2 linked regions of the Tamandua tetradactyla genome follow. Each later gene encodes a partner of the first gene's protein in a complex. Links are inferred from orthologs where the notes say so. Each region holds a gene or a part of one and is shown on either strand. Other genes may lie near its edges.

Region 1 (7,566 bases):
AAATTTAACATCTTATTTTTTAATAAATGGCAAATATAAGTAGATTACTAATGTAAATAGTATGAAATGTTTCACTTTGCAAACTCCTAGGTTCATGCAAACCATTTGAAGACCCACTGGCATATTCTATTGCTATATTAGAAGATGCACACTCTGAGTGGTTAAGGCTCCTGTTGCTTTGGTCCAGCCCTTTATTCACCTTACAGCAGACTAGGCTTGCCAAGGCAGGCAACTCTTCATTTAGAGTCTAAAGGTTTGCTGCCAATGGGCCCAGGAAAGACCCCTCGCTAAGGTTGGGGAGTCTCCAGCGCCTTGTAACTGCCTCTACCCAAGGAAAGGACTTGGATCATCAATGTATGAGCACCAGTTTCGGTTTTTCTCCTTTTGTTCCTACCTCCTTTGGCGGATTCACCTTTCCCTAGGCTGCACTCTGTCCCCCACCCAGCCCACTGTTGTCCAACAGAAGCAGCTGTTTTCAGTCTGCAAGTAAACCTTCCTTCAGCAGTTAGTGACTCTGCATACAAAGCTATGCATTTCTTCCAGACAAATTGCTGCCACCAGATGTAAAGCCCTAAATGACACCTCGGGGGTGGCTCCTGTGACTAGTAGCACCCCAGATAACCCCATCTTAGCCCCTTCGCTGCACCCTGATTTTGGGTAGCAAGATAATTTATTTTCACCCCTGGTCTTCTCTTTTTCCTGTGACATGGCTGCCCTTTGCAGGCTGTTGCTGCTCCTGTTTCCTCTTTTCTCTCCTTTCTAATATTGACCAACCCTCTCAGCATCTGTTTTTACTTTCCCAAAACTGGACTCTGGAGAGTCCAGTTGAGGGACCTTTTCTCTCTCCAACACTTCCATCCTGACTTCCTCCATCATATTCCTTTAAGATGTTTCCCATAGAAGGAGTGTGGATTTGGATGTCCACAGAATTGTACAGTTTACAAAATGAGCATGGAAGAACATGCACACCTAACACATTCATTTCTTGCTATGGAGTGGGAGTGGATGTGGGCATGATCCCTAAACTCAAAACTCTTTTGCAAGAATCCTGAAGCTCCTTGATGGGACTGCCTGTCAAACACTGCATCTTCAAACCAGGCTACACAGCCTGAGCCTTGCATGCAGTCCTCCAACGGAGGTGACCCAAGTTGAGTATTCAGATTGGCCAGGTCCCATGGGCTGCTCTGCGGAAATAACTGAAGCCTTTTAAGAGAGGTGTCTAAGAGAGCAATTAAAAGGGAATTGCGATTATTGAGCCCAGAGGTAAGATTTCAGAACTGGCCCATAAATCCTGGTCTGACATGAAATTTAAAACTCCCCAATGGTCTCCAATGCCATATTAAAAGGGTTTTAATACTAAGAAGTAGAAATAATGAATGATAATCAGAGTTTTGTTTCTGGGAGTAGCGGCAGCACTGAGGGACAGGTTTGCAGGACACCGTGGGGGGAGGCGTGGTTGTTTTACATCACTCACTTCACAGGAGAGCAATGAAGGAAGGAAGGCTGGTTGGCAGAAGGGCATGAATGAAAGACAGGGAGAGAAATTCCCCAGATAACTCCCTCCCAAGCTCTGCGTAAAACCAAGAGGTGCCGATAAGAGTTTAATATCCAGAACATATAAAGAAATACTACAACTCAACAACAAAAGACAAACAACCCAATTTAAAAATGGGCAAAATATCTGAATTGACATTTCCTCAAGGAAGATATACAAATGGTCAATAAGCACATGAAAAGAAGCCCAACATCATTAGCTACTAGGGAAACACAATTAAAACCACAGTGGCATACCGTTTCACACCTACTGGGATAGTTACTATTAAAAGAAAAACAGGAAAAAAGTGTTGGAGAGGATGTGGAGAAACAGATGCCCTTGTTCACTGTTGGTGAGAATGTAAAATGGCGTCATAGCTGTGGAAAACGGTTTTGGGGTTCCTCAGAAAGGTAAGTATAGAATTATTATAGTGGCAATTCCACTCCTAGGTTACACCCCAAAGAATTGAAAGCAGGGACTTGAACACTGATTGTGACAGCATTATTCATAATTGCCAAAAGATGGAAGCAACCTAAACGTCCATCAACAGATGAAAGGATGAACACAATGTGGTATGTACATATAATGAAATGTATTATTCAGTATTAAACAGGAATGAAGTTCTGATACATGCAACAACATGGATGAATCCCGAAAATATCATCTTCAGTGAAACAAGCCAGACACAAAATGATAAGTATTGTATGCTTTCATTTTCATGAAATAATTAGACTATGCAAAGTCACAGAGTCAGAAACTATGATACAGGTTACCAAGGGCTGGGGCAGGGGTGGGGAGTCGGGAGTTAATGCTTAATTGGTGCAGTTTCTCTTTGGAGTAGTGTAACCGTCTTGGTAATACAGGTGGTGATGGTAGCACATATTGTGAACTTAATGAACCCCATTGAGTTGTATATGTGAAAGTGATTAAAATGGGAAATTTCAGGTTACACATATATTTATACATGTTAACAGAATAAAAAATTTTTAAAGTATAGGACTGTACAACACGGTGAATCCGAATGTACACTACAGACTTCAGTTAATAGTATAACTATAAAAGTCCTTCAGCAATTGTAACAAAAGCTCCCCATCGATACGGTGTCAATCCTGCACGTGAGAGGGAAGTATATGGAACTCTGTATTTCCTGCACTTTTCTATAACCCTACAACTTCTCTAAATAAAAACAAACAACAACAACAAACAGGCTCAGACAGGTCCACGCCTCCTACCCAGCGCTTCCAGGAGTGCGGCATGGGCAGGGATCTGATGGGAAGGTCACTCCTCTGATGGGAAGGTCACTCCAGCGGCTACGCGAACTTCCAGCTGCTTGGCTCCCTCCAGGCTTCCGTAGTCCTCTCAGAGCAACCTCCCTCCAGCCCTGCGGTCTCAGCGTTTGTCCCGGCGGGCTGTGCGCGACTGTCCCGGCGGGCTTTGCGCGACGCCGGCGCAGGGCCCGGCAGTGTGGGGCAGGAGAAAGGTACCAGCTGAGAGTCCAGAAACCCTGGTTCAACAGCCAGTTCTTCATTAGCTGAGTGGCTAATTAAGCTCACCTCATCTTTTTACACACGGCGCCGCTATTTAGGGAGCTCCCTCTCAGGGTTGTTGGAAAGAGTGAAAATGGGGATGAGGGTGGTTTGAAAAGATATGTTATGGTAGGTTTCTGTTGTTTTTGGGTTAAGGTGCCCATCTTGATATGGTCGGTCTCTGGATTTACGTTTGTTCATGTTTTCTTAAAATTTGGCAGTTAAACTCTTAAGTAGATGAGAACTGAAGTTCCTTTAGGTTACTAGATACTAGGACGGTAGGATGCTCTGTGCTCGGAAACACCAGGGCTAGCCCTCGCTGGGGTTTGGACTTTGTGCCTGCAGCCTCTCAGTGCATCATTTATGCCAGTTTGTGGTCATTTAGAATCCCTCCGCCCCATCCCTCTCTCTGTGGCCCCTAATCCTATTCCCACAAACTGTTACCAAAGCAGATTTCCCAGATCCCATATGTTCTGGTTCAAAGCAGCTGATTGGTTTGAACTTGAGTGTGAGACCATGGCACTTCCTGTAGTAAATTTTATCTAACTTGATTTCCAAACTTCAGGGTTTGTCATGTGTGGTAGTCAGGCTGCCCCCCAAGCTTTGAATCATCAGAAAACCAGGCTTTCTGTGGAATGAGATACATATAGGTTTTGGCACCATGCCGGGAATGCAGCAAGTGTTGAACAAATGATGGATTTTTTCTCTGCCAGCACCTGTCATGGATTCAGAACACTGAAGACCCGAAGGCCATGGCAGAGGCCTTTGGCATTTTTGTTAGAGTCACCTTGCAGGTGGAGAAAACTCACCATGTCTCCTCAGATGAAAGTGCTTGATTTACTGCAGACCCACTTACCAGAATATCAAGGGAAGCACTGTCATATGTGTTCCTTAAATCAAGATGTTCAGTGGCTGCCACTTTCCTCTAATCTACTAATCTCTGGACCCCACTGAAGGAGGGGTTTTTGCAGAACTTCTTCTAGGGGACTCTTGGAATCACCACATTCTCTTCTAAAGGTTCCCAAACCACCTGTTCAGCAACTTGTTTAGAATTTGACTGGGGTTAATACTTCTACATTCAAATTTTTTTGATTGACTCCTGAAGTAAACAAAATCCTAAAAATAGAGCATTGAGATCCTTATCTTTATATCTAAAAATAAAATTGGTTATAAAAGGAAAGCTAATCACACTAGCCTAGTTTCCTTTTATAAAGAGAATATATAAAGATTCACTTGAATAGAGCAGTTTATGGTTTGTGTTGGGTTGGGAAAAAGATAAACTGACTTTAAAGAAAAGTTATTGTGTCCATCCAATATGTGGAGAACCTGTTACATAAAAATGTAGAAGTGTTCTAGAGGGAGGGAAAAGAAAAATAAGACAAGAATCCCAACCTTAAGGAATTTGTAGTTGCACAGACTGAAGAATTGGTATGAAATAAAAGGCAAATAAATCCAAGGAAAATATAAGCAATTTTACTGAATTCAGTAAACATTTTATCAGGCACAGTATGTGCCAGGCAATGTGGTAGGTACTAGATATGGATGAAGAGACTAAGTCCCTGCCCTGGAGAACTTCCATTCAAGAGTCTGCATATTGAGGCTGCCTAAATGCTGAGAAGTTTGAAAGTGAGGGAGAGCCCATCAAGGTGTGGATAGGATTAATTAGTTAACTGGAGAAAAGGATTTTGAAGGAAGTTGATGCAGGGAAAGGCATTCCAGTTGGGCATCCCAGCTGGAGGAAAAGCAACACATCAATCCTTCCATCCGGCTCCAGTGAGGAGGGATGAGAGTTTCTTATGAGAGGACAAATTTGGGCTTCTGTCACCTGATTGCTTCAGACTTCTGAAGTTCAAATCCCCCAGTAAGGGGTAATGGCAAAAATGCTGAGAGATGCATAATTCAAGATTAAAATGGAATAGATAATGTTGCAGGTCAGGGAATCTGCTTCAAAATATGACATTCTTCTGGACAGTGTCCACTTAAATGATATGACCCTGAGGACTTTTCCACACTGAGCATCTGCCACCCTACACGATAATTAGCCAGTTACACATTCTCTTTGTTGTTCTTTAAAGATTAACGAGAGACAGTGCTTAAAGCCGGGTTAGATGGAGAAACCCTGAAGGCTTCATTTGAACCTTTTATATCTGCTCCTTTAGGAAACTCTGATGAACAGGTTTTCAATACAACGGCAGCTGTCTGGCTTGTAACCTGCAATATGTCTCGGGTGGAAACTCAGACCTCTCTGGCATGCTGTCTCCCACCATCAGCTTTGAAAGCACATGCACGAAAGCAGCAGAACAGATGTTTGGGCTCTGCAGCAGGGGGAGCACGTTTCATGCCGGGGTAATGGGCATTTTCAGTAAACTGTGCCTCCTTGCTTTGTGCTGAGTTCCTGAGTTACCGGCAAGTAGAAGCTCCAGGTTATCAAGGTGTCACTGTGCAGACACAGCAAGATCTGGCCAATTTGGAGACAAGTTCTCCTTTACTTACTTATTTTGTTCTGTTAGATTTCTGCTTGTTCTCCTCCTGCAGACAGCTAGATGGTGAGTGGAAAATAGGTGATAAAGAGAAAGTTTATTTATCAAAAGGGAGAAAAGGAAAACTAATGGGAGTTTAAATACTCCTAGTTAAAAGTAAGCAGCTGAAAATAATGGAGACAGGAGGGATAAAGAAGGTGCCGGAATAATTAATGCCCTGCTGGAATATAGGAGTCCCTGGCCCTTTAAGATTAGCTCACATGAATGGATTCGGGCTGATTTAGATCTTGCCACTCAGAGTGTTGCCCAATTTGGTCCACTTCCTGCTCTTTTCCCTCTTTCATCTCTGAGTCTGTATTTGGCACCTTTAGTGTCTTGTAAATGCCGAATACCCAGAGGAGCGCAAAGCCCATTAATAGATGATGCTGATGATGCCGATAATCAGAGCTAGGAACTGTGATTGTCTTATAAGCAAAGCATCCGAATAATTGCAGAGCCATCAAGGCTGCAGTGGCATTTTTCCATGCCCTATTCCTGATGAGCATGACCTTGGGACAAGTCAGCTCCTACTGTTCCCCTGGGCTGCATAGCAGGGAAGGTTGGAGCATCTTCTACTAAAAGAAAAACCCCAGAAGGACCTATCACCTCACCACATCTGCTGTCCTGAGTCTTCCCTAGGGACTCCGACCTCCTGCAGCCCCTCTTCCACACTTCTCCATTCTTTAATCCTCCCTCCCAGAACCCCTTTTTGCACTAGGACTCCTTAGGATTTAATGATTTGAGATTCCATGATGCTATGAGTTGAATTATTCCAAATCCCGTCCTCAAGTTTGCTTTAAATAAATATGAGCTCCTTTCAGGCTCACAGGCCTCAGCTTTGGGAGTGACCAGTACCACTAAGTGCAAGTACATCAATCACTGATTGCAGTTGTAGCCCAGAAAGCCCGGGCACTGTCTGCACTCATTTACCTGCGTGGAAGCTGAGAGGGCTATCTAATACACAGACCTTCTGTGTTAGGACGTTGAAACAGTCAAAACTGTTAGGAAAGAACTAGTCTGAGTTCTGAGTTACAACGGAGAGGTAGGACCTTCTGCTCCTCCATCCCGTGGCATTCTGGTTCTGCTTGCACATCAGCTGTCCCTATTGACAGCACATCTCATTTTGCGTGTGAAGACCATATACATCCACTGGGCTCCATCGTCAATCCTGGGCAGCCAGAACTGTCCCCTAACTGTCCAGCAAACACTCCTAACTGCGTAGAATACATAACTTTCTGATTATGAAACAGTGCTTTATCTTCTTAGCAGAGTATGTCTGCTGCCAGGCTCAACCATAGATAAATCTGTTAAGTAGAATTTGTCTCCCATGGGTGAGATGTGAAACACTCTGGATGAGGGATTCAGGAAACGTGGGTTTCCAATTCTACCTTGTTGCTATTAATAGCTAACATTTAATGAGCTCTTATTGTATTAAACACTTCATATCTATTATTTTATTTAACCTTCACCATAACCTTATGAGGTAGGTCTTTCATGATGAGAACACAGAAATTCAGAAAAGTTAAGTGATTTGCTCAAGGTCACACAGCCGATAAAAGACAGATGCAGGCTCTGAACTCAGGACTCAGGTCTGATTGATTTCAAAGCCACTGCTCATAACTGCTACCTACTACTGTCTCCCAAAGCATGTGGCTCTAAGCAAGTCTCTTGGGTGTTTGGGACTTATTTCAAATGTCTTTGTTATATACATATTAAAGGAGTAGGACTCTCTTGAGTCCTCACCCCCAGCTCTCCCATGCTGTGGATCAAGTCCTCACATACCCTTTTTGACCCAGCAGCTTTTTATACCCTACACTCCATTCACAGTTTCCTGGGCTGGGCCCTCTCTCTACTGGACCACTGACATTTATCTCCCCCAAGCGTATGTCATGTGACCCAGCTGGCAACCACATTTCTGGACGAACTCCGTGCTCTTCTACATCATCTTCTGGATGACTGTGAACCTTAAGGGCTGGGTCTGAAGAGG
Region 2 (7,876 bases), about 30 Mb from region 1:
GGTACCCTCTGGAAAGTCTCTGAAAGTAGTTACTATGATATCTGATGTATCTGCATGACTTTTCTCTTGCAAGCTCTAAAATGACATTAAAGTTTTAGTCCCTACAAAATGTTTAGTTTAGAGCTCTAGCAGATGTCTCTCTAACTAATAAATCACTTGTACTTGTTATGCATTGTGTAAAGAGGATGGGAACCCTTTTGGGGAAAATACATTTTGCTATGGATTAATGCCCAGAAAAAAGAAAACAATAATATGGACATTGTCATAAAAAACCTACAAGAAGGAGAGAAAATTACAGCTAGACTGATGAGCTAGACTGATGAGGATAGCTGTGCATTTCTGAACTAGTGATGAAGGCAACCAGAAAAAAAGAATTTTCAAATAACAATAAAATTCCTGGATGATGAGTTTATAATTACTGTTGGAAGAAGTCCCTGGTCAACGTAGTGGGGATGGCAAGAAAGTTTAACCAGAATGGTTCAGGCCAATCCACTTTACACCCTAGAGTATAGTGACTCAGCAGTAGTCATTTTAGCAATTCATTCTTAACTTTTGTTTGACTGTCATAGTTCAGTAGTTACAAATACAGGCATTATGCCAGAAGTCATAAACCAAAGAAGTATGTGAATCACAGGTTTCAGCCCATTCCAAAGGCTAATTCCCATGAATATAATTTTCTGTTTTGTCATTGGCTGCTGAGAATTTAGTTACCTTCTTCAGTGGTCTGGACACCCTTGTCCCTTCCTAACTCTATAGTTAAGAAGGAATAAATATTAGCAAATGTGCATTTTAGAAGGCAGGGGCCTATTTAATTAAATGAAAGGACATGAAGCATGTTTCAGACAATCAGTCTTTACAGTGTCCTAGCATTTATTAAAGCAATACACAGATGCTGTCACTTACATGCAGGAATGGTGCAGTCCCTGGTGTTGTGATAAAGTCTGTGAAAGTGTTTGCTGCACTTTGGACTAAAATAAAGAGGACCTGGAACATGGAAGTGGAAAACAGATAATGAGGATTCAGCAAGATGCAAAGGAACTGAAGGAGACGTGAAGGAATGTAAAGAAAACTTACCTGTAAGGTGTTTTAAGAACTTGTCCTTCATTCTTAGGTCTCGAGGAACAATTTCTGTTGAGAGAAAAGAAGCGAATTATCATGTTGCCTGAAGGAAGCATTTTTTTCCTCACATGATCTTAGGTGAATGTTGAAGAAAGTTATTGGAAACTTCACTGGCCATATTACTTTGAACTAAATAATACATACTGGAGCCTTCCTTGGTTGTTATATACCTATAATGTGAAAACTTGTACCCAGACATATAGTTTTAGCAGCTCACAAAGCTCTTATATTTTCTCTCCAGTCTCTTAACACCAAGATAGGGATACTGATTGTGAAGTTATAAGGTGAAAAAGATTATTTTTTTACAACAAGCTTCCAGTGAATACATCATTTCTAGATGCTTTTGTTTTGAAGAGATTGTGAATCAAATCCTACACCCTCTCAAAGTTTTAGGAAGCAAACCTGATCCTTCACACAACCAAAGAAATTGTTAAATAATTTTACTTTGTCCAGCTGCATATTTAGAAGAAGTATTGAATGCTTTCAAAACCACCTGTTATGAGAACTGGTGTAAATGAATGGAGGTATACATTAATCTGGTTTGTAAGATAAAAATAAAATTCCTAGGAAAAGACTGTTCCAAGCATATCTTTTGTTTTGCACTTGGTAAATAGCAATGGTTTCATTGGCATTCCCTCTGTTTGCAGCCTTTGTTTATTCACAGTCATCTTTAATCATTTTCACTTATCTGTTCTGAACTGGTAACTTAAGTGATGATTGTATGTGATGTCACACTTTATTTATTTTACCACAAGTACTTCTTAGATCCTTCCCACATCTCATTTGAAGAGAGAACATTTCCATCCGAACCTTGCTCACTTCGAAGGTTTAGACATCTCCCTAATGTCAGTCTTCATTTACTCTTAAATGAAGTCAGTCTATATAAAATTGACCTTATCATATTTGGCCTAATTGTGTCATGAAAAGCATTAAAAGCTTACATGCTTTCCTCAGAAATTTCCCATGGGGCAGTCACTCTGAGAAAGGCTCTACCATAGAGGGAAAGCTCTGAAACATTTCTTTTTCAGTTGCAACTGCTTCGTTGAAAATATTTCCATTTCTAAAATAACACCACAGTTATGGCATAGGTAGCAATTCATATGGCTTAGATGTGGACTAGTTACGATTATGTGAGCTATCTACACATCGCCCCCTACTTTTTTTCTATTTTTCATTTTTAAAATGTTTCCTAGTTTAAAAAAAAAATCAGGATCTTTTTAAAGTGTGTTTTCTTATAGACAGTTCTACTTCCAGCCAAACACAATTTCTCCTAGTGTCTTAGATATGAAAGATACGCAGATACACTAAAGATTGAAGTCGTTAAAAGGAGTTCGTGATTACACAGACATGCACACATTATAGAGACTTGTTGAGATAAATATATGAAGAGGCTGACTTACCAACTCTTTGCTCCTCGGGATAAACTCCGTAGTCAGAGACCTCCCTACGGCCCAGCGTATAGTCATGTTTGCTGAAAATCTGCAATCTCTTGTATTCTCCCAAGTGATATTTTTTAAGTTCCTGAATGATTTCCATGATGAGGTTTAAAAGAGTCTGTCTGTCTGTGATTTCTCGAGATTCAGTTCTCCCTCGGCAAGGTCCCACTGTCATCAGCAAGAACACCAGCCCCAGGAGGACAGGACGCCTCGGTCCGCTCATTTCAATTTGCACAGGGAAGCCTTAGGATGGTGCGTTAAGTTAGGAATGAAGCTGGAAAATAATCCAACACCCTCTCTGGGCTCTAGGTTCACTGAAAGAAGGGGGTGGCGATGGGGGGAGGGGAAGGGAGGAGAGACAGAGAAAGTCAGGGTTGGCGGAGGAAGGGGAAAAAGCTCTGAGATCCCAGAGGAAGAAGTGGCCAACTCCTCGTCTACACTGTGGTCAGATTCGGCCACCTGGTGCTGGCAGGCACACGCGTACGCAGTCTCCCGGGCGCTCACCGCGCCGCCCGCCCCGAGCACCGCTCTCCTCAACCCCACCCCACTGCCCTACGGAAGGAGCCGCACGAGAGGCGAGCCTCGGAGCCTCCAGCGCCCGCGAAGAAGGCATCCTTAAAAGTTCCGGGGACTAACGCTGACCGGTCGCCTCCCGGCCGGGCGGCGCTACCACTCCGCCAACCTTCCTCAGTCGGGAGGGGTGCGAGAGGGTCGGCGAAGTACAATCGCCGAGGGTCGGTCAATTGAGGTCTCCACTAGGACCCCCACCCCACGATCCCACTCCACAATGAGAAGCACAGTCATTCATCTTACGGTTTTAAATTCCGGCCCCCGCCCCCAAATGCCCTGGCTACAAATCTACTTTTCCCTCCGGTTGGCTCTCTCCCTGAGTCTCACTCATCCGGCTGGCCCTTTTAACTTATCTGACTCTATATTCCAATATATAATATCAACGTGTTTTTTTTTAAACTTTAAAAAAATACATGAGGCTCAGGCTAGCATATCTGCCTGCGGGGCGACAGTTTTGAAAAGGTTTCGCACCACCACCACCCGCCCGCACTTATGTGCCCCCAACTCCCTCAAAAAAAAGCACCCATTCAGTTTGGATAAGTACGTGTTCATGTGCCCAGTTTGGGAGTCTCAAACCAAGTTTCTAAGCTAGTGCCTTTTTGTCCGGCTACGTCGCCCTCCCGGGGACCCGAAGTGGCGGACGCGCCCTGCCAGAACCCCTTTCCGCGGCCCAGACTCAGTCTCAAAGGCGGAGGAACCGCGCGCCTGGAGCGCCCTTCCCGGAGTTGAAGCTGCTACTGCGGGGCACCCGGGAACCCGAGTGCGGCGAGGCGCTCGGGAGCCTCGGGCACGGGGAGGGTGGTCACCCGCTCCCCCAACCAGATGGGTGCCCCGCGTGGCGCCCCCTCGCCCGGCCGCGCCCGTGACTGCCAGGCTTCTCGAAACCCCCTCGCTCCTCCGCAGCCTGCAGGCGAGGCGGGAAGCCGAGAGCCAAGGTTTAGGGGCGCCACCGAGACGCTTTGCGAACAACTAACTGCCAGGGCCACTTCCAGCCTGCTGGTCATTTGCACGTCGGAGCTGTGCCAAGAGACCGGCATAGGGTGGGGGACGGCGAGCCGGAGCCCGGGAGTTACCTGCCTCGGCGGCCCGGGAGCCGTGGACGTCTGCTTAGACGGCTGGGCACTGCACACGCCGGCCCGGAGCCGTAGCGCGCCCCACTACTCCATGTCCGGCGGCGCTTCGGCTTATATGCCTCATAGGATGCTTGGGAGCCGCGGCGCCCGGTGTCACGGTCAACTCCAAGTGGGTGGAAAGGCTCGGCAAGTCCGCGCGGCCGCCTTCAGAGTGAGTGCTGTCTGTCGCCCAAATTCCCTTCTCGGATCCTCCTGGCAGGGTCAGTTCGGCCGCTTCTTATTCTCGCGCCTGCGGACGTAAGGCGTGGGTCCCCCGGGGGTTCAAAAGCCAGCGTCTTTAATTAGAAGCTCGTTAAAAAGCCGCTGAAATATTCATACTCTTTTGTGTGGATCTTCGTCAGACAACCAACCCCCCCTCCCCGCGCCCCGCCACAATCTCTCCCTCCCCCCCCCCCCCGTTTCTCTCTCTCAGTCTATTTCCCTTCGTTCCTGTCACTTGTGACAGGATGAGAAGAAACGCCTTTACCAGGAACTTGGATCTGTTTTTGTCTAAATGTAGATCTTAGGGCTATTAAAAAAGGAGCGGCTGCTTGATTGCCTCGACATTTAATAAGTCAATTAAAGTCTATCTATTTTGGAGGGATCAGATGGCATCGCTGGGGAACTACTCTAAAGGACATTGCACCGTCCCAAGTCCTGGTGCCCAGGCGAGCGCCCCCTGCCCAAGGCGGCTCTTCACCGAATGCAGGGGGACAGTGATGATGGTCAGTGGGCTTGCAAATGGCTTGTCGAAGGGGAAAAAAAAGAGACAACGAGGACAAAATACACACTTCAGGAAAAAAGGTGTGTGCAGGTATTCCCCACTGCCTCCCCACTTCTGCATCCTCTTACTAGAACCCACCGGCTCTGTCTATGACTGTGTACAAGCAACTCAAAGGACTAGTTGGTAGGTTAACACTAACATCCAGTTCCTTCAGAGACTGTACTGCCCCCCAGCTTACCCAGACTCTACCTGTTAAATCTTGGTTTGAATCCTCTAGTAGACTTGATATTTCTTTTCACCTTCCCCTGAAAAACCTGCAGGACAGAAATCTTTGACCTCCCCTGCCTGGAGCAGTTGCCTTCAGGGCTAATTCTGTAAGGAAGTAGTTCCACAATTTACCTCCTTAATTTTTTTTTTCTTGTAAAATGTATTATCAATCAATTGAGCACTTTCCCATTTTATTGGCCCTTTCTGGGCAAGAGCTGGAAGTACTCCAAGGCAGAAGATCTAATTGGGAAAGGTGTTCTAAGTACGATACCAGAAAGGGAGAGTGTGGGTAAGAATTAAAAGCCTCCGCCATTAACAGGGGCGGTTACACTATGGCAGTGACACAAAGATGCTGCCAGAGTGCATGTGTGTGTAAGACTACTAAATATTTCACTGACATAGAAAAGGCTCTTAGTTGCTGGATTTCCCGATAACTTTTTGGCAGTATTCTCTCTCTCTCTACCTATTCTCTCTATCCCCCTTCCTTCACATGGTCTGTTTTCTCTGGAAGAAGATGTGTTTGGCAGAGGGGGGGTGGTGTAAATAGAGTAGAGATGGAAGATATTAAAATCTAGCCCTTTTTCTCCTTTTTGAGTATATGTTTATATTTTGCTTTCTTTAAAAGCAAATGATTTGATCAGGCTGAACATTTTTTTTTCTCTTTTTTGCAACCAGTATGACTAAAATATGAAAGTTTCTGTTAAAATATATTCAGAAAACAATGAGAATTCATACCTGACTGATCTTAAGCAGATAAAATGAGATATTTTCCTTTCTGCCTTTTCCCCTTTCTATCAAAATAAATGTAAGCTCTTCTTGCAAGAGCGACGCCTAGTGACAGAAGCTTTCCTCTTGCTGACATTCATTTCCTTGTCTCATTCAGCATCCTGAATTTACCCTGACTCCTATAGTGGTGCAAGTTCCAGCATTATAGAAACATGGAAAGCTTCTATTGTTGTGAAAAATATTTAGTTGTAGAACTGGATTTGGAAAAAAAATACCTTGCCATAGTGAAGAATGCCAACAAGAAATTAGCCCATGTATTATTCAAATTTATATAGAATATTTTCTTTTTAATAGTATTTTCCTAAACTAAAGCTAGGTTTCTTCTAAAAAGTACCAATAAGACCTCCCCCCATTCTACCAACCAAAGAAAATTTTCCAGGTCATTAATATTGTCCTTTATTTGTTTGCAGTTTTTAATGGGACTGACAAGGGGATTCTTTGTGAATAAATCTTCTGATTCCTTTCTACCATCCAACTGTGTGTGCTGATACTTCAGGCCAACTCATTAGGTAACTTCATACATAAACAATGACAACATAGCTTCTGCTTGATTGGTATTTGGATTCATGAGGTCTGGCAATTAGGAATCAGAAATTCATGTATTAATCCATTCATTTTTGCAAAGCTCTGTGCTGAAATGACTCCAGATGCCTCTCATTTTATATGTCAATTTTGCAGACTTTAACAATTTATGCAACTGATAAGACTGCGCTGATTTATTAAACTGTATTGAAGTTTTCAATTTATAGTATTGTCAGAAAAAAATGTCTTGGAGTTCTTCAAGCACCAGTAATAGGCATATTATGCCCATTGTTGACACAATCTGATTGACTAAATTGATTGGTTATCTTGGTTAAGGCAAAGTAAAACATAGACAAGCTTACATGAAAATTTGAACTTGTATTTGACAAACTACTTTATCAGTATCTTTTCCTATAAAATGAGGGGGTTGGATGGTCTCTGAAGTTTCAAACTATAAAGTTCTATAACTGTTACCAAAAAATGTCTGAAAACAAAATGAAATGTTTTCTACAAAAAGTTGAAGGAAATTCACTTGAAATCATCACTGTAAGTTTCACCACCTGTTTTCAGGCAAGAAGAGGTGATATATCCATATTAAATAATTTAATTCCCTCCGTTAGTAAGTGAAGAACTTTCTACTAAAAGCCGAAAAAGATAAGAGAGAAAATTAAGCATCAAACTGCATTCCAGAATCACTGGAAAAATAACTAATAATTTCTTTTGCTGGATTTGATTAGTTTTGTTTTCATTTTGAGAAAACTGTATTGGACCATAGGAAGTAAACTAACCAGAGGGGGGTAAATTGTTTTGGTTAATTTACTTTTATTATACATCTGTGTCATGAGATGGGCAAGATATTTTTTTGAGTTAAACCCCAAAGTTTCAACTACCATAATTTTTCTTTTTTCCCACAAAAGTATATATTTTGCTTGAGATGAATATTAATTGAGATAAATGAATTGTTACATATTTGTCAACCATTAAGTTAGAGAATTTAACAATCCCTCAGTAGAGAGAAAAATAATTACCTTTCGTAAAGGATAACATTATATGTACTAAGGAAATATTGCTTAATATTAAAATTTCACAAATTCTGTTATTTTTTAGTATCAATACATCATTAATATCCTAGAAATGTACTAGAAAATGTGTAAAGGAGCTAGGAAGACAAATTCTCTAAGAGGTCCCATTTCCCTAGTATAAATGTAACTCTTTAGAATTAATAATGTTTGCAAGATATATAGCAGTCTAAATAGCACTCTGCCTAATTGTTCCCTAAAATAAGAGGAAACAAACTATTCTAAGGTCCTGCACCCCCTTCCCACTTGACACACATCTCA

The links. The genes of interacting proteins can lie anywhere in the genome.
Region 2: the proteins of ALK (region 1) and ALKAL2 are in contact, whole or in part, in a cryo-EM structure (PDB 9G5I), measured with the Homo sapiens proteins. The link is inferred for Tamandua tetradactyla from reciprocal best matches to the Homo sapiens genes ALK and ALKAL2. Residues at the interface, in NP_004295.2 of Homo sapiens: Leu684, Tyr739, His755, Ser758, Leu760, Phe856, His857, Glu859, Leu965, Tyr966, Thr967, Pro968, Leu970, Lys971, Val972, Met973, Glu974, Glu978, Asn980, Val992, Glu994, Cys995, His996, Met997, Phe1007, Asp1009; in NP_001002919.2 of Homo sapiens: Ser112, Lys113, His114, His116, Arg117, Leu118, His120, Asn121, Thr122, Arg123, Asp124, Arg133, Arg136, Leu137, Arg140, Leu141.

The regions. Positions count from the first base shown.
Region 1 is NC_135329.1:13,545,499-13,553,064, forward strand, and holds the start of ALK (ALK tyrosine kinase receptor), read right to left. Parts: upstream 3,063-7,566; coding exon 2,767-3,062; intron 1-2,766. UniProt on the Homo sapiens protein: Neuronal receptor tyrosine kinase that is essentially and transiently expressed in specific regions of the central and peripheral nervous systems and plays an important role in the genesis and differentiation of the nervous system.
Region 2 is NC_135329.1:43,331,376-43,339,251, forward strand, and holds the start of ALKAL2 (ALK and LTK ligand 2), read right to left. Parts: upstream 3,048-7,876; 5' UTR 2,779-3,047; coding exon 2,520-2,778; intron 1,129-2,519; coding exon 1,075-1,128; intron 985-1,074; coding exon 904-984; intron 1-903. UniProt on the Homo sapiens protein: Cytokine that acts as a physiological ligand for receptor tyrosine kinases LTK and ALK, leading to their activation. Cytokine-binding is sufficient to activate LTK. In contrast, ALKAL2-driven activation of ALK is coupled with heparin-binding to ALK.